4 linked regions of the Arabidopsis thaliana genome follow. The protein of the gene in region 2 interacts with the protein of the main gene of each other region in a pairwise test. Each region holds a gene or a part of one and is shown on either strand. Other genes may lie near its edges.

The links.
Region 1: the proteins of MEE62 (region 2) and HVA22J interact in a protein complementation assay, tested with the Arabidopsis thaliana proteins (one large-scale study listed by BioGRID).
Region 3: the proteins of MEE62 (region 2) and AT3G12180 interact in a protein complementation assay, tested with the Arabidopsis thaliana proteins (one large-scale study listed by BioGRID).
Region 4: the proteins of MEE62 (region 2) and IQD6 interact in a protein complementation assay, tested with the Arabidopsis thaliana proteins (one large-scale study listed by BioGRID).

What each region holds. Positions count from the first base shown.
Region 1 is NC_003071.7:15,122,566-15,127,194, forward strand, and holds HVA22J (HVA22-like protein J), read right to left. Parts: upstream 3,024-4,629; 5' UTR 2,898-3,023; intron 2,810-2,897; 5' UTR 2,690-2,809; intron 2,600-2,689; 5' UTR 2,576-2,599; coding exon 2,544-2,575; intron 2,455-2,543; coding exon 2,356-2,454; intron 1,930-2,355; coding exon 1,873-1,929; intron 1,766-1,872; coding exon 1,702-1,765; intron 1,599-1,701; coding exon 1,464-1,598; intron 1,355-1,463; coding exon 1,271-1,354; intron 1,165-1,270; coding exon 859-1,164; 3' UTR 555-858; downstream 1-554. Other genes in the region: E2F3 (E2F transcription factor 3), read left to right, coding at 66-135, 231-328.
Region 2 is NC_003076.8:18,574,967-18,581,201, reverse strand, and holds MEE62 (Leucine-rich repeat protein kinase family protein), read left to right. Parts: upstream 1-1,960; 5' UTR 1,961-2,229; coding exon 2,230-3,610; intron 3,611-4,378; coding exon of another isoform or gene 4,379-4,470; exon of another isoform or gene 4,471-4,817; coding exon 4,818-5,437; 3' UTR 5,438-5,682; downstream 5,683-6,235. UniProt on the Arabidopsis thaliana protein: Can phosphorylate the myelin basic protein in vitro. Required for endosperm development in embryos. Maybe involved in auxin and osmotic stress responses.
Region 3 is NC_003074.8:3,881,367-3,885,403, forward strand, and holds AT3G12180 (Cornichon family protein), read left to right. Parts: upstream 1-1,963; 5' UTR 1,964-2,097; coding exon 2,098-2,172; intron 2,173-2,653; coding exon 2,654-2,835; intron 2,836-2,920; coding exon 2,921-3,043; intron 3,044-3,143; coding exon 3,144-3,204; 3' UTR 3,205-3,498; downstream 3,499-4,037. Other genes in the region: AT3G12170 (Chaperone DnaJ-domain superfamily protein), read left to right, coding at 7-105, 207-308, 390-449, 535-641, 728-810, 902-992, 1,085-1,289.
Region 4 is NC_003071.7:11,142,743-11,147,057, forward strand, and holds IQD6 (IQ-domain 6), read right to left. Parts: upstream 2,362-4,315; 5' UTR 2,241-2,361; coding exon 2,175-2,240; intron 2,101-2,174; coding exon 1,873-2,100; intron 1,796-1,872; coding exon 1,568-1,795; intron 1,496-1,567; coding exon 1,382-1,495; intron 1,306-1,381; coding exon 691-1,305; 3' UTR 548-690; downstream 1-547. Other genes in the region: CYP711A1 (cytochrome P450, family 711, subfamily A, polypeptide 1), read left to right, coding at 21-116, 199-528. UniProt on the Arabidopsis thaliana protein: May be involved in cooperative interactions with calmodulins or calmodulin-like proteins. Recruits calmodulin proteins to microtubules, thus being a potential scaffold in cellular signaling and trafficking.

The sequences.
Region 1 (4,629 bases), on a different chromosome or scaffold from region 2:
CTAATTAACCTGACTCAAAATCTACCCTCATAATTGTTGTTTGATATTGGTCTTGTATTTTGCAGAATGATGAGTCGGACTACTGGCTTCTCTCAAATGCTGAGATTAGCATGACGGATATTTGGAAAACTGACTGTATCCTTTGCATATATGCAATTTGTTTCTCTCTTATAGTTAACTATATCTATCTGCATAAGATATAAATACGCAATCCTTAACTCTAGCAAAAGCTGGTATCGATTGGGATTATGGAATAGCCGACGTGAGTACTCCACCACCAGGAATGGGCGAAATAGCACCAACAGCTGTTGACTCAACCCCGAGATGATCGAATACCAAGCACACTTCTCAACTTCTGATCCCAAATGTGTTACCTCACAACACTCCCTAAAATCATATACAAGGAGGGAGCAACTACAGAACGTGTATGAACCAATGGCAGGTGCGTTCCATACAATGTACCATTAGATTATGATTCATTTATCGCCTAGAGTGATGTTGTAGAGGAGCACCGAGAAACTAATGTAAGTTTAACAGAGAATGTACTTCATCGGCTGCATTGGTACACTATTTGATTATAATATTTTTGACCACTCAAATGCATCTTTATAATCAGCTATATGAAGAAATCCAAACTCAAATCAATATCCGGATTAAAGCGGGAAGTTTAAACGAAAACAAACACAAATATTCTCGCTGTATTAATACTTACTGCTTCAATTTACAGAAAACATGAAAAAAAAAAAAAAATCTGTTTTGTTTCAATTCAAAACTTTCATTCACTTTTCTTTCCCTATATATCTTTAAACAAACGAAAAGGGTTTCTTTGTCGAGTCACGTATATGTACGTTTGCGTTACTATGCCGCTGGCTGAGTTCTGGAGTTAGAACGTCGCAGCTTAGCTCGAGCATCAGTGAGGGGTGATCCCGGAATTGTATCAGGAATGTTGACTCCATCATCACCGTTAAATGTTCCGGCGGAGTCTCGGCCTGGTGTTGGTGGTGGTGTTGGTGGCGGCCACTTCCTCCCTCTGCTTGTTTGCTTCTCTAGCGATCGCAACGCAGATAGTGATTTGTTCAGCGGTCTTGGAGCGCGCGGTGATGGAGGATCATTGTCCATCTCCACCGGTGACTGCGCGTTCATGTTCACGTTCCTCTCCGTTGGCTTTAGCACAAACACAAAAATTCAAAAGTGCAAAAGGGAGGTAATAAACACAAGATTGTGTTTGCATTAGTACATAAAACGAAAATCAAAAGCGATAGAAAAGTACCGGTTGGTTAGCTGCAGCGGCAGAGAACCGGACCGATTGGGCGAGTACGTACTGAAAACCCTGGATCAAGGTGGATTGACCGGCCTGTGCATCAACATTATATGTATGTTGTTAATCTTATAATAATTTAGTCAAACCTTTAAAAAGAACAATTTGTATATATAAGTAATAGAAAGATAATTTAAAAAAGGACCTGGGCGAAGTTGTTGAAGTAAAAGATGAAAAAGTCCCAAGCTCGAGCTCGCAACTCCATGATCTTTCTGTCAATCTCTGTCTCGTGTTGAGCCATGTATGGCTTCAACAATGTTTCATACACATGTCTCGTTCCCTTCATTCATTATTTATTTCGTTATTATTATTTGTACATCACCATAAACCACTAATTAATTATGATCCAACTAATCACTTTTTAAAAGGAAAAATTATATTACCTTTGTTTTAGGGTACCAGAGATATACGAAGAAGACTACTTTCATCTCTCCGTATAACGGTAACCTGCAAATAATAATTGCATATATCAATTAATTATTTGATGATTGTTAATATTTTTTAAGACAGAGATGGATTAAGGCATGAATTAACTAATAATAAAACTTACTTACCATGAGATAAAAAAATCGCCAACCCTCTCGAATGATGAAATTAGCGCCAAAAGTATCCTAATTATTCAAATACAAATGTTTAACAAATTAATATTTTCGAGTACATATTGACAATAAACTATCATATTAGAATTACGTGCATCACATATATTGAGATATCTTTAAAATAAACCTAATACAATTGTCCCAGTAATCCCCAGACTAGGTATATAATCAACGTTCGAAACCAAAGACTTGTACAAAAGATGAGGTGTATTCATAAATGGTTTTTCTAGCAGAAGACATCAACTTAACGGAATTTTGATTTTTTTTCTCTTTTAAAATCAAACAAAAACCCATAACAGAGAAAAGTATATCACTATGATCGAACTAAAATCGATTTGCCTATCACTACAAATCTACTACATACACTACACATTATATATGAATGTTTAAAAGTATCGAGGATAGAAAAAAGGGGATCATATATAAATAATTCAATACCAGTATTGGCACCAAAATCTGAGTTCCTCGATATCAACTTTGTTCTTCTCCACCGTTTTAAAGCATTCGAATGCTGGGTATGTGTACCCTAATATCAATCTGCCATTCTCACCATTTCAATTATATATATACATCAATATACATGATTAATTAATCAAAAGAAAAAAAGAGATATGGTTAGGACATACACAAGGAGTCTGATGATGAAATCTCCCAACATCTTCGACCAGTTTAGACTTATCTCCTGTTACAATCATAACAAAACCGATTCAACAATCATATATATATCAGACGAATAGATCCATTTTTAAGCGTTTAACAAATGCAAATGAACCTAATGAAGAAGATCAAAGACGTTAGGAAGATCTCGTCCTCGTAAGAATTATTGAACGTATGAAGAAGAATATGAATGGAATTGGTGTTTTTTTCTTCAAGGAACCCAGAGGGATCAAAACTGCAAATGAGATCAAAACCATGTTTAATGGTTACAGAGTTTTATTATTAGAAGAGAAAAAAATATGTATAAGTTGTTATAAACAAACCTAAATTTATGGAGAGGGTGTCTCTCCGGGTTAAGCAAAGAAAAAATAAACAAAAACTTTGAATATCAAAGACAAAGAAAAAAAGAGGAAGATTATGAAGACGCGTAAGTTCTAAAATTGGAATACATCAGGGTTTAGTTTTTTTAGAAATATATAAACGTCAATAAACAAACAAAAAAATTACAAAAAGTAAACGGTTTCTTGCCACAAAAGCTACTTGAATTTGGGGGTAAGAGGAACGGGTTTACCGTTTGACCGTTTGACCGTTGTCTCATTATCCTCGTTATTTAACATTGTTCGACGCTTCATATGAATTTACAAAAAAAGTCCTTGAAGAATCAAATTAATTAAGTTTGACTGATTTTACACTAATAAATATATATTCTTCTGCTGTCCTTCAAAAAAAATACTAAATACGAAATTCTATAAACTACTAGAATATCTTTTGAAATCCATTAAAATCTCATCTAAACATCCTTTATTCAATGGATAATTTGAAGCAAACCTAGTCTTTTTTTTTTCCAAACAAACATAAACTCAAAATAATTCCGTTCCTTATTAATCCAAATTCTAAGTTTTTCACACATGAAAAAAATTGATCCTAAATGTATTATTTTTTGTGATTAACAATTTCCACACTTAAAATTTGTATAGAAAAATTAAAATTTGTATCTTTTTGCAACAAACTTTTTTTTGTAGAATTTGGAGTAATAAGGAATTGAGGAAGAAGTACTTAATAGTGCAGTGATCATAAGTGAGTTGTTACTTATGTTACTTATATTTTACACTAGGTAATCTCAAATCGAAAATCAGATTGATGGACAATATTATTACAACATTCTATGTCTACCAGGTTCCCATAAAAAAACTTCCACCTTTCATCGGCCTCTAAATATTAATCTATCAATAATTAAACATACTGTACGTTTTCTGTAAAGTTTTGTATTGTTTAACAGTAATGTTTATTTTTCTATTATATGTTGTAAAACAAAGTTTATACACCTTTCTAATGTACTTAGAGGAATAATAGTAATACTGGAAACAAAGAGTGGTCTGGATTTGTGTTGGAGGAGCTACGGCCTTTGGGTTTATATCCCTTGAGTGACAATTTATTTGAGTGTTGTAAAGGCGCTGTACAAAGCTCATGAAGGCCCAACACAAATCCATGTAAAACAAACTCTTATTGAGTACTTCTACAACTTCTCTTGTAATATTTGTTAACACCATGTGTAAATCCTAAAAAAATAATATATTCGAATTAAAATTTAAAACGTAGTTTAAAATAATTGTGTATGAAATGAATTAACGACCGTATAGTATAACTATTGAATGCAAATGACATACTAAAGATCATCTGACTTTTTGAAGAAAAAAAAGGTTAGATTTGACAAAAAGAAAAATATAGATCGTCCAACTAGAACCTAAATCGTAATGGGAAGGCTTAATTATATATGAAATACCATTATAGTTCATTATAGTCAACTTAAATAATAATCCTATATTCACATCTCATAATTTTCATAGATCAGTGGAGTAAGTATATGTCACATTAATGCTCATGAATGTAGACATTTACTAACATATTTTTAAAAGCTCACAAAAATTTAAAAGAAATTATAAACTGTCATTGAACATCAAATTAAATATTGTTGCTAAGAGTTTACTTCTCATTAATCCACCTCAGTCACCACATGCACCCTTTAATACCAATCCAAGTAGACTCACTCTCCCT
Region 2 (6,235 bases):
ACGCAGCTAATGTAATTAAAAAGTTAGTCCTAATGAAATAATGTAATAAAAAAGTTAATCCTATTGAAATAAGTTAAATGTAAATTTTGATATTCAATAACCGAAATGTTAGATCAAAACAGTAGACTCGAATAAATCTTTTTATTCAAAAAGTACACTGTTGTTTTGTTTGATTCAACTACACCATTATTTACTTTTCAACCAACCCCATCAACAAATAACCGATGGTAATAAATATAAGCATTTACTACAAGACATACGTAAATTTTTTAAAACACGTTTTATTTATAATTTAAGGATATGCAAAATTACACCTAGGATACAACATCGAATGAAAATAGATAATTTAATAAATTTTGTTAAAAGATAGGGTCCACGTTTCTATTTCGCATCATCTGCATCAAACTACCACACAAAGTCATCGCACCAACCATATACCTCTTTGCTTACTTCACTTGAGTTTCAAACCCATAAACAACAACAACAGAAAATATATACTGCCAATTAAAGTAGCATTTTCATCTCCATCGTAATGTTATAAATACACAAATTGTTGCATATATATGACAACGTTGATATTCATCTGTATTTTGATTTTTGCACTTTAATATCACATGCAATTATTTTCAGAAAAAAATATCACATGCAATCCTAAAATAGTGTCATATTAAGAATTTAGTTAATCCAATATAATGATTCTTTGTTGATAAATGTTTTTAGTTAATTTCTCTTATATACTGTTTCTTTACTTGTATTATGGTTTGAATGTGACTGAAGTTTTAAACACGTCTCTTGTATATAATGACAAGCTAGTAGTCTTACCTCAAACTGTAAATCAATTTCCACAGTTTACACCGATTTTTTTTTTTCATTTTCATACTAATGGACAATTATATAGTACTAGTAGTATAATGATTGATGCATGTCTTTCGTAATATTAGACTAAATTCAATATATTGCCTATCTGAGATTATCCTTTTTTGAAGTATACAGATTGTCCATGATTGAAAAAAAAGGAATTGCATGATTTATCTTTTGATTTATTGGATACCAATCATGTACTTATCATCATTATCTTTACGAGGTACTTTTTTCTTTGCCTCTCTTTTCTTTTGAAAAAGTGAAAAGTAAGAAATATAAATACTAAAGAAAAATAGTTTATCAATTATCCGAATCACTAAAATTAGTTGATTCACTAAGTTTAATCTTATATAATCTGAATATATATATATATATATATATATATTTCTTTGTTTTGATGCATATAGTGTCAATTTATCACAAAGTAAATTAATTCAATGAGTTCAAATAATTAAAATTGTTTATTTCCTATATAAACTTTAGTTATAACTTTCACTTTTACAAAAGAAAAATAAAAAGTACCGTATAAAGATAATGATGATAATAAAACATGATTACAGAATCCTATTTTCCTAAAGATAGATGATTCAGTGAAGTTCTTTTATATATTTCTACAGCTAATGTTCATGCATTAATTTTGATATTGGTGTTTACTGTTTACAATAGTGGAATTCGACGATATAGGTTATAAATGGATGTTGCGGTTACTGCGAACTAATTTATCAGCGGTTTAATCTACTTTATTTTTAAGATGGACAATAAACATAAACCGTTGTTGATTCAAATTATTTCAATATAAAAATATCTATGATTAGTCTATTTGTAATCATTTGAATCCGTAGAATAAATGAATAGTGGAAATCTTTTCACTTCAATAGTTGATCAAAAGTTTATTAATATTTATTGCTGTAAAAACAATCCCAATTAATATCTTTTAGTAAAGATGCAATTAAAAAAAAATTGATTGCTATTTTGAGTAATGCGATATAGACAAAAAATAAATTGTTAAATATATTTTAAAGGCATAAGTATATTTTGTATTTTTGAAATCTTACATAACTAATTTAAAGAAGAGAGAATTTGTCTTAGTAAAATATTATTTGCCATCACTTCACTAGATTTAATCGAGCTACAAGTTTACAACAATTTGACTTTTAGTTTTTGCATCATAATCCACGTCATCGTTGGCATATTATCAACCGTATGTAATGTATCTCCCCCTCTCTCTTCTCTCTTTTCTGATAAACCTCACCAGCTCCTCTCAAATTCTGCAACAACTAAACCCTCTCTCTCTCTCTCTCTATCTTTCTCTCTTCACCATTTCTTTATCTTCCATGGAAGAACAGTCTTCAACAACAAACTAAAAACATGTTTCTAAAGTTGTTTCTTCTCTTATCTTTGGTCTCCTTCTCACACTCAGACTCTTCTTCCACAGTTTCTTGTCCTAACGGCACAGACTTCCATCAACTAACCACAGTTTTTCGTTACGTCTCCGGTTTCAACTCTTCCTGGTTCTCCTCAAACTGCTCCGCCGTTATCACTCACGTCGTTCTTCCGTCAAGAAAACTAAACGGCACCGTTTCTTGGAACCCTATACGTAATCTCACGCGCTTACGTGTTCTTGATCTCTCCAACAACTCTCTCGATGGTTCTCTTCCCACTTGGCTCTGGTCTATGCCAGGTCTTGTCTCCGTTAATCTCTCTCGGAACCGGTTTGGTGGCTCTATACGAGTGATTCCAGTTAATGGTTCGGTTTTGTCTGCGGTTAAGGAGTTGAATCTCTCGTTCAATCGGTTTAAACACGCGGTTAACTTTACCGGATTTACCAACCTCACAACTCTCGATCTTTCGCACAACAGTCTCGGTGTTTTGCCTCTTGGTTTGGGTTCTCTATCGGGTTTACGCCACCTTGATATATCCAGATGTAAAATCAATGGTAGTGTTAAACCGATTTCCGGTTTAAAGTCGTTGGATTACTTGGATTTATCGGAGAACTCAATGAACGGTTCGTTCCCGGTTGACTTTCCGAATCTCAACCATCTCCAATTCTTGAATTTATCTGCAAACCGGTTTTCCGGTTCGGTTGGATTTGACAAATACCGAAAATTCGGTAAATCAGCATTCTTACACGGCGGCGATTTCGTCTTCAACGATTCCAAAATCCCTTATCACCACCGTATCCACCGTCTACCACACCGGCATCCGCCACCAGTGCGTCAACGAAACGTTAAAACGCACCGTACAAATCACACTCCTTTGGTGATTGGCCTATCGTCTTCGTTAGGAGCTTTGATAATCGTAATCTTCGCTGCGGCTATAATTTTAATCCGCCGGAGAATGAAATCGGCGAGAACGAAATCGAGATGGGCGATTTCGAATCCTACACCGTTAGATTTCAAAATGGAGAAATCTGGACCGTTCGAATTCGGAACGGAGTCTGGTTCTTCATGGGTCGCCGATATAAAAGAGCCAACGGCGGCTCCGGTTGTGATGGCATCTAAGCCGTTGATGAATCTGACTTTCAAGGATCTGATTGTTGCCACGTCACATTTCGGAACGGAGTCCGTTATTTCTGACGGCACTTGTGGTCCACTTTACCGTGCCGTTTTACCAGGAGATCTCCACGTGGCAATTAAAGTGCTTGAGAGAATCAGAGACGTTGATCAAAACGACGCCGTTACTGCGTTCGAAGCTTTAACTCGGCTTAAACATCCAAATCTTTTGACTCTCTCCGGTTATTGCATCGCAGGTACTAAACTAATCTCTCCCAATATTTTTAATTTCGGTTTAGTTACGACCTAAAGTTTTGAAATTGACTTAAAAACCCCAATATAGGACATGCTTTGATTCGACTAAGTAGCAAATAAATTTTATGCTATAATGTATATATAACTTTGGATAAATATGTAGTTTTAGACAAAAAAAAAAAGGATAATATGTAGTAATGTAACAAAATATTTTCCGTTTTTTTAACCAAGTTACTAAACAAAGTAAATATCTCACAAGTTAAGTATATATCAAGCAAAAAAATAGAGAATAGTTAAGTTTTATTTTTCTAAACAAAGATAAACAAGATCATATAATTTTTTGTTGCTAATTATAATTAGTGGAATACGCTAATTTAGAACAAAAATATATCAAAGATTTGACTTCTTTTTTATGTAAAATATTTTTTTGATTGGGGTTGGAATAAATCAATAAAATAGTGGAGGCGTAGACGTCATTTAATGAATTTTTGTCTCTACTTTCACGGGTTTTTGGATAAACACATTAATGAGGCATTAAATGCTGAACGGTGTCGTATTCAATAGTAGTATCTTCGTATGCGTTGTAGTACAGACGAAAGAAGTCAGTTCTGTGATGATGGTACGTCACGTAAAAAAAATCTAATGGTTTTTGTGCCATGATTACAATTTTTTTATGAATTTTCGTGACCTTAACGTAAAAATGTATAATTATTCCAAAAAGTTTCTCAGAGAAATATGTGTGATAGTTTCTTACAATGACTTGTTTTTAGGGTTGTTTCATTTGGTGTTTTTGTTAGTGGACGACTGGGACGACTTTAAAATATGTGCAGACAAGTCACATCCTTTGCTTTGGGACTCGTAGAGATTATATATAGCTTGTCGGGTTTCAATAATCGTTTTTTCTTTACGTACATGCTAAATATGTTTTCTTTTTTACCTAATTATATTTACCATGTTTACCAATTACCATAATATGTTTTGCAGTATTAACTCTGTTTAAATAGTGAATTCGAAAGTTAATAGTCTAGCATCACTGTATTAATTTCAGTATTTAACTAAGATTTACAATTTACTGAATTTATTTGGTATGGGTGAATTAGGAAATGCAATATTAATTTACATATATAATTTAAAATATTCATACTTGTGACAAAAAATCAGTATTATATTTATTTGTTCGTAACCAATATTGCGGTTTATTATTTTTAGGAAAAGAGAAGCTTATATTATATGAATTTATGGCTAACGGAGATCTTCACCGATGGCTACACGAGCTCCCGGCGGGAGAAACCAACGTGGAAGATTGGAGTGCCGATACATGGGAGAGTCACGTCGGAGACTCATCACCGGAGAAAACAAATTGGCTAATACGTCACCGTATCGCCATAGGAGTTGCACGTGGTTTAGCCTATCTACACCACGTTGGTACTACTCATGGACACTTAGTCGCTACCAACATCCTCCTAACCGAAACCCTAGAGCCGCGTATCTCTGATTTCGGTATCAACAACATTGCGAGAACCGGAGATGATACTAATAAAAACAATGTAGAATTCGATGTGTATAGTTTCGGGGTGATTTTGTTTGAGTTATTAACCGGGAAGCAAGGGAGTGATGAGAATGTTAAATCCGTTCGCCGGTTGGTTAAGGAGAGAAGAGGAGAGGAAGCTCTTGACTCGAGATTGCGGTTAGCTGCTGGAGAATCGGTTAATGAGATGGTAGAGAGTCTTCGAATTGGTTACTTTTGCACGGCGGAGACGCCAGTGAAGCGACCAACAATGCAACAGGTCTTGGGTCTTCTTAAAGACATACGTACGGTTTCACGTTGAGTTAGGAAAAAGAAAGTTGGGTTTAAGATAAATCATGTGAGTATTAGATTCGGGTGTTGTTGTCGATTTGCGGTGTGTGAGATATATGCCCTTTTCTCAAAGTGCTTTGTAATTTTTTCCTCTCTAAAATTATAGAAAAATATTCTCAAAAATTGACAACTAATGCAATTGTTAATTTTCTTCAAACAAACGTTACACAAATTGTAAAAAGAATATTTCTAATTTAAAATTACATTAGAAAAAAGAACTAAAATTGTTATTGATAACTATTGGTTTTGCACCAGTGATAAGAACCTAAAAATCACTAACACGAGATTTTGATTATTGGTTTTTGACACTTTGAAATGACTGAACTCGAAAAGGATTAGAGTTTGGCATTGACACGTTAGTTGTAGTCTCAGTGAAATTAGAGTTTAGCGTTGACACGTCAGTCATAGTCCGAATTAAATCAGGGTTCGACAATGACTTATAAAAACGCATGGAGCGTTAACAAAGAATCCGAGATATCATATCCTCGCCGTTTACCAAAATGCATTGACGATATATTAGACTATCTACAAAAATTCACTAACGATATTATTTAAAATTATCCAAAGTTAACTTTTAGAGAATTTTTGATGATATAAATTTGTCCAGACATAATTCTACTTATTGGTTTTCTTTTCGCGAGCCGTACTACTCCGCGTTATAGAATAATGAGGGAAAAATGCTAAATAGGGGAAGACAAAACAAAGTGGGTAAGGTGGAAAAGTATTGGTAAGATACTGCTGAGAAGCTGGTGAGACCATATTGGTTTTT
Region 3 (4,037 bases), on a different chromosome or scaffold from region 2:
TTGAAGGTTCTTGGTGTTGAAGCAACAGCATCTCCACAAGAGATAAGGAAAGCGTATCATAAGTTAGCATTGAGGCTTCATCCTGATAAAAACAAGGATGATGAGGTTTAACTGAGGGGTTTTGGTTTCTTTACTTTTCTTAGTTTTTAGGGGTCTATTCAATTTTACATTGTAACCGGAATTCTTGTTTTTCTTATCCAATACAGGATGCTAAAGAGAAATTTCAGCAGTTGCAAAAGGTTATTTCGATTCTCGGTGATGAAGAGAAAAGAGCAGTCTATGATCAAACTGGCTCAGTTGATGATGCTGTAAGTTGAAAGAAAGTTTTCAACTTAAGTAAAGGTACTGGAGGATTTTCTTACAAACTGGTTATTTCCCTATCTCATTAGGATCTTTCGGGAGATGTGGTTGACAACTTGAGGGACTTCTTCAAGGCAATGTACAAGAAGGTAAGAATCATGATTCACAATTGATTTCTTTTTGGACTTTGCAACACAACTGTTTCGTTCTGTATACTGATCATTTGTGCTATAGGTCACCGAGGAAGATATTGAAGAGTTTGAGGCCAACTATAGGGGTTCTGAATCCGAGAAGAATGATTTGATTGAGCTATATAACAAGTTTAAGGGTAAAATGAGCAGGTAATTAATCATCCCCTTGTTTTCATTATTGTCAAGTTTGTGAGTTGAAGTTTGTATAAACATTATTGGTACTATATCTCTTTCAGGCTTTTCTGCTCAATGCTTTGCTCGAACCCCAAGCTTGATTCGCACCGTTTCAAAGATATTATCGATGAGGCCATTGCAGCGGGTAGGCTTCTCTTTCTTGCAATAATTCTTTTGTCTATAAAACCTATCCAGGTTCTGATTTGTTTGTGCATACCATTGTTTAACATCTGCAGGAGAAGTGAAATCAACAAAAGCTTACAAGAAATGGGCAAAGGAGATTGCAGAAATGGAACCTCCCACGAATCCCCAGAAGATGAGACGGAAGTAAGCTTCTATTTGTCTACCTTTTCCACCCCAATAAATGCCCTCTGAAGTTATCTTTGTTGTGACCTGTTTCAAAATTTCTATACTTTCAGAGCAGCAAAGGCTGCAGATAAAGATTTATACGCTGTAATGTCCCAGCGGGGAGATGAGAGGAAAGAGAAGTTCGATTCAATGTTCTCTTCACTTGTCTCTAGGTATGGTAGCAATGCTGACTCTGAGCCAAACGAAGAAGAGTTCGAAGCTGCTCAGAGAAAAGTTGAAAGCCGGAGATCATCGAAGAAGTCTAGAAAAAAATAAAGATTATGTAGTAGTTTGTGAAATTTAGGTTTCGTGTTTGTAATGGAGACCAATGTTTTTAGCGTAAATTAGATCACATTTGTTGCTTCTTAGAAGTTGAAGACTAATGTGTATTTGCTAGGAAACAATGTGTATTTTTACTTTTTGTCTTTTTTCCAACAACAAAAAAAGCAGTGAGTTTACCAGTTCAAAAGCTCAGGGTCCCACGTGTATGTCGTCTGGATCTTCAGAAGAAGAGAAATTCTATCACCGGGTCCTAGGACTTCTCCACCTGCAAAAACAATCAGGTCGAGTAATGCATCATAATCAGTTGATAACTAAACAAGCCTTTGTTACAATGTAACATATAAACGTACGGTATCAACCAAGTTTCTCGGGAAGAGGAGAGTGGACGGATCCTTTGGCTTGTATAGGCCTAAATAAAGAACTAACAAATTTCAAGTGAACTTATTTAAAAGAACCAAATAATTATTCTAAAAGAGAAGAAAAAAATGAAATTATTTACTTATATGGCTTGTATAGGCCTAAATGGCATACAGTTAATAAATTTTGTTAGTTCTTTATTAATTAACACCAAGCATCTTTTTTTTTTGTTGAAAAAGAAAAAGGAATTTAACAAAAAGGATATTCACAAAAAGAAACTAGAGAAGTAATAATAAAAAGGAAAGAAGAATCTAATGTCCAATAGAACCCCAAAGTAAAGTACACCAATTGTTGAGAGAAGAAGAGTTCTTTTTTTTTCAAAGGTATTTAAGGAGAAGAGTCGCAGTCGCAAAAAGACGAATCGTAATTGTTGAAGAGAGCAAATATGGCTTGGGATTTGTTTTTATGGATAGTCTCCTTCTTCGTTAGCTTGGCTCTCGTCGCTTCCGTCTTCTACCAGGTAATCTATCTACTTTGTTTGTCCCCTTTTACTTTCCATTAAGATTCTTAAATCGAGATCTGTCCTTACTGTTCAAATCCTGATTGTCGGAATTGTACTTGTGAAAAAACACCGAGCAACTTAGCTTTTTGTTCGAATTAGCTAAAAAATTAGGAATGGAACAATTTTCCTTTGTGTTCGTCGGTTTTGTACTAAATACAATTGACAATTTTTTGGGTCCAGAGAGGTTTCATTGTTTATCCTTAATCTTATGCTTCTAACTCAAAGTTGTTCTTAGTTCTGATTTGGATTGTCTGCAAGGCTTGTATATGATACTTGGTCAATTGAGACATATAGTTGATTAATTGCGAGTTATATACTGTGAATGAATGAAGTTAGATACTACTACCAATAGTGTTTACTCTCATACTAACTGCCTCTGCTAATGATTGAAGCATTGAGATTCCTTTTTAGTCTATTGATATCGTGTGTGATTTTGTAGGTTATCTGCTTAACGGATTTAGAAGCTGATTACTTGAACCCTTTTGAAACAAGTACCCGTATCAACCGATTAGTAATACCTGAGTTTATCCTCCAAGGGTCACTCTGCCTTCTCTTCCTCCTCACATGGCATTGGGTCTTCTTTCTGGTCGCCGTCCCTGTAACAGTCTATCACGCAATGTTGTAAGTATCTATATCCATCCATATTGCTTATGATTCTTGATTGACATGCGTGGAAACTAAATACGCGCCTCCCATTGTTCTTCAGATACAAAGAGCGACGTTATCTCATCGATGTCACTGAAGTGTTCCGTGGTATCAGCTTTGAAAAGAAGCTCCGGTATACCAAGCTCGGGTTCTACGTCTTTCTCTTCATCATGGTTGTCTTTAGGTAAAAAAAACTACAGCTTTAGCTTTCCTATTAACATCTTCACTTACTTTGGTTCTTCTACTATGAAGTTACTTACCGAGTCCATAAAACATTTTTGCAGGCTCACTCTCTCTGCGGTCTATAGCTTCACGGAAGATGATGATCTACTTCATTTGTTTTGATTTATGCGCTTGCGCTCTGCGTTATCAACCACTCTCTCTTTATTTTCTGAGTGTGTTTTAGAAAATTGTGACAGGTTTTTATTACGTCCCTGCTTAGAATTAGCCATTCAGGGATTCATCATGTAGCTTTATATAACGTATGATTACCGAAAACTCATCACAAATCGTTTGACATGGAGGGTTTCATCAGTTTTGTTTTGCGCAATATAATGTTCAGTCTCATCATTGAAGTCATAAAAATCATGTATCAAGAATGAAGCTACATTGTATTACATAGACTGGCTGTGGAAAAACGCACCGATATCTAGTTTATCGGAGATGCAATTGAACCCGCTGTGGACCTTAAATCCATGTCCATCCAAGAGGAGGAGGAGAAGGTGACCCAAACAGAAACTCTGCAAGAACAAAAACCAAGGCATGTTTCAACAAACCTTTTTATATGAGCCAATTTTTGCGATAGTGACCAAATAGCGACCCAAGAAGGATTACGGCCCAACCCAAGAGAGTTATCCAGCTTGATTACGTCCCAGACCCCCTATGACCCGATCCGGACCGGCTCAGACCATCTCACAAACCGATAATATTTACTACGGGCATTAAACCGGTTAAATAAGGAACTTTCCTTATTTAGATTTTTTAGGGCAAGAGTCTGGGACCACGAGAGACTCTAGTCAATCCAAGCGAAAAGATCATTCAAGATAGATAGACTACAATTTTCATACTTGGCCGTGGCCCGTGGGTGTCCTTAATTAACTCCCAACGACTATGCCACTTAATCCAGCAAATAGGCGCTTATTCACTTACCTTATCAAAACCATAATCCATCCTATGAC
Region 4 (4,315 bases), on a different chromosome or scaffold from region 2:
TTTATTTGCCTCCTTTGTAGGTCATTAAAGAGGCTATGAGATTCTACATGGTTTCTCCTTTGGTTGCAAGGGAAACTGCTAAAGAAGTGGAGATAGGAGGTTATTTACTCCCAAAGGTATATTCAAACCCATCAAGCGGATTAGTCCATTTACAGTCAGCACTTGTAATCTATTACTTACCTTGTGGTTGTTGCTTAGGGGACATGGGTTTGGTTAGCACTAGGAGTTCTAGCAAAGGACCCTAAAAACTTTCCAGAACCGGAGAAGTTCAAGCCGGAAAGATTTGATCCGAACGGAGAAGAGGAGAAACATAGACATCCATACGCTTTCATCCCATTCGGTATCGGTCCACGAGCCTGTGTTGGACAGAGATTTGCCCTGCAAGAGATCAAACTCACATTACTGCATCTCTACCGTAATTACATTTTCAGACATTCCCTAGAAATGGAGATACCACTGCAGCTTGATTATGGTATAATTCTCAGCTTCAAGAACGGGGTTAAGCTCAGAACCATCAAAAGATTCTGATTCTTGAAACAAGTGAAATAAAAGCAAGACTGAAATTTATATTTAAATTCAAAACTCCAATGTAGTTCCAAAGGAAAAAGAACAATTAACAACATACACAGATATCTCACAACACACAAGACAACAACAAGCTGTTGAAACTCCAATCTAACAAGGTCACATTTAACCTCTCGGCTTCTCGAATCGAGTAGGAACACCGAGTGGTTTGGAGAAACTAACAAAAGGATCTGAGGAAGGACTAGTCTTCAATTCCCCTGTAAACATTCCAGAGTTCTTCATAAACTGAAACTCATCCATAGATTGCCTGAGACCGCGGTTAGTTCTTCGCTTAGCCTTTGTCGATTCAGTCAAGCTCATGTAACTTGGCTTGTGCTTTTTTGCTTGACTGCTAGAGTTATCTGAAACAAGTCCAGTTTTTCCAGAAACAGGCGTAGTTGAAGTACAAATCGAGGATGAACCTGAGCTCTCGTTAAACTCATAACCAGGACTTGAAGACAGCATATGAGGAGGAGGTTTTGCAGATACTCTAGTGGTCACATTGTTTCTTCTAACTTGAACAACATCCGCAGTTTCCGGTGATTTCAAATGTTTATGAGGCAGAGGAGGAGGCGTGGCAGCGGTATCAACAGTGTCCATAAGTCTAGTCTCCCATGGCCTAGCAGCCATCCAACGCTCCAACCAACTCCATCCCCAACTATTCTTATCAAACTCTTGACTTTTAAGATACGAAATCGAACTATTCGTCTTAAGGTTTGAGCTAGTAGTTGACCTCCATTGCTACACAAAACAAGATTCCCGATTCAGCTTCAGACACGAACTTAAACAAGATGTTGAATGTGGACAAGTTAGTTACCTTTTGAGCAAGAGCATAAGCCAAAGCACGTTCCCTCTTAAAAGCACCTTCTTGTCTCTGCTGCAACTTTGACTTAATATCATCCACAGTACCTTTCCTATCACACCACCCTTCCTGAGAACATAACAAATCTCAAAACAATAAACAATCATCAAACCAATGAGCTAAAAAGGTAAAGACAAGAACCTCGACTTCTTTCAAGAGATCAGATTTGGTTCTATGTTCATCTAAAAGCTTTTGAACAGCTTGTCCTTCAACAGTCATCCTCACACGACGAGCTCTAACACGAGCTTGTACTCTCACCAAAGCTTGCATGCATCTCAATGTAACAGCTGCTTGTTTCCTAACTTGTCTTCCTCTCACTAAAGCTTGTAACCTCACTATCCCTTTCAATGCCCTCAACGCTCTTCTCGCCTAATTAACAACAAATCCTCAAATTAAACTAAGTTCTATTCCTCTCAATTCTAATCAAAACCAATTAGCAAACTCACCAAGAATCCACGAAAAGCGGTTTGGATTCTAATAGCAGCCCATTCTTCTCTAACAGCTTTGAAATCTTTAGGAGGAGCTCTAAGAACAGTAGCAACAGCAGCAGAGTAAACAGTAGAAGAATCAACACCGTCTGAATCAGACCGATGTTTTCCTCGAAAACCCTTCCATGAATCTACTGAAGTAGTCCTCCATAGCTTCCATTTCTTGTTTTTCCCATTACCCTTTTCCTGAAAACAGAGTATCTCTCGATAAAGCTTTAACCTTTGAACGAGAGAACAAAAAAAAAAGATAATGAACTTACGATTTCATCCTTCTCTAGCTTCTTGAGACCGATAATGGACTTGACCCATTTCCCTGAAGCACCCATAGATTAAAAAGTTTCGATCTTTTTGGCTCGAATTCGTAGATTATTTTTTTCTTCAGGTATGTAGAAAGTTTGAGAGTGAGAGATTGATAGAGAGAGAGAGAATATCGGAGAATGTGAAGTTGTGGTGGTAATGGAGGGAGTGGTGGGTTAAAGAGAAGTTTTTGAAATTTGAACAAATCAAAGCAAAGCAACAAACAAAATATTAATAAAAAGTTTGCTCGAGTCTTTAGGCTTTTGTCTCTGATTGTGTTTTCACACTTATTTATTACTTACACAAACAAATGTGTCTGTGTCCTTCTCAGAGTTACAGGCATGAAAAAAGAAACCATGAAAAGGTACAATAAATTAATAAATATATATATATATGTATGTTAGGCTTTTTGTTGTTTTTTACTTTTTACAGTGACTCACTCATGTTCATGTAATACCTTGTTTTGTTTTATTATTCTTATATCATTGGATTCGAAATTTAAACTTCCCAAAATGTTGCAAATCAGATTTACGAAATACATTCTCTTTCGAAAAGCAATGTTTAGCTTTTGGATTTTGTGATTTGGACTGGTTAGACCTATCACTTGTCTAATAACCTCTATAACAGAACTTATTATCTTATATAATTATGACAAGGTTTTCTTTCTAAGACCATACACATTGGTCTTATGACTCAACAGTCAACACCCTATTTAACTCTCCACAAAACAGCGTTATAGCAATTTAAACTTTACAACTCTATTGCAAATTATAATAAATTATGCTCTCATAAAAAAACTAAATTCACGAGTGATTGATACAAAAAAACAACAACTGAAACGACAAAAGAACAACCTAAATTCACGAGTTAAAGAATCGAAAAAAATGCCCATGTATCTCCCAAATTTAGTTTTCAATATATATACTATTTTTTCTCGCTCATATTTAGTTTGAGTGAATCTTGTACATGAATCTATTTGTCTAGCAACTTTAAGATTAATTAGACATAATAAAAAAAAAAGATTAATCAGACAGAGAAAAAAGATGAACTCTGTAAAGATTGGGTCCTTAGCTATACAATGAAAATGAGATATATACAATTAATTCTAATTGATGATAACTTCTTAAAATAATAAAACAAAAATTACATGAAAACATGTACCACCGAAAACATGCACCATCACACTTGGGATTGAGTCCCGCTCGATACAAATGTAGGGATTTGGCTAATGGGCCGGACAATTGTGGCCCAATGTTGAAAAAAAACTACATGAAATACACAATGAAAGGAAAAAAATTCGATCCAAGAGTTGTTTGTCTGGCTAATGGGCCGGCCAATTGTGGCCCAATGTTGAAGAAAAAACTACATTAAACATACAATGAAAGTAAAAAAAATCGAGTCAAGAGTTGTTTCTGATATGATGTACATTAGCGATTAATGTGCTAACTCACAAATCAACCAGAATGGTGGTGGCATAGCTCTTAAAGAGGAAATGAGATAGAAACAATATGTTACAAACTAAAAATAAATCAAAATCATAGAGTATTACAACACACAAATAAATAAATTGGAAACAGACTCTACATGAAACCCATGAAATGAATTAGAAGAGAGAACACAAAAATATTGTATTAAATAAAATCTTTTGCCATTTTTCAATTGAGGATCATAATACATTGACGATGAAATCCAGAGATTGAATTCCTGATACCAAAAAAAAAAAGCAAATCAAAACCAACTATTGTTTTTTAACACAATTTAATCCACCTCATTTTCATCATCATTTGCAATATCCTATTAAATCAATTCAACACTCTCTATTGTAAATAATTTTAGATCATATTAAGCGGATCACTTTCGGCAAACGAATTCTTTAGACATAGGAGTGTAACTTTGGCTTTGGGTCGTTTTTCACATATCTTTGAAGGTAGAGAGAAGAGATAGTCAAAATCCTTTTTTAACTTCTTTAGTTGTTGGAGCTTTCTTTGGAATTTGACTAAACTTATGGTTTCTCTACTGTTGGACTAGGTTGGATTTCTTCATATCCAATATTATTTGTCCGTTGTTGACTTTTCTGATATAATCAACTTTCTTCAATTGAGGT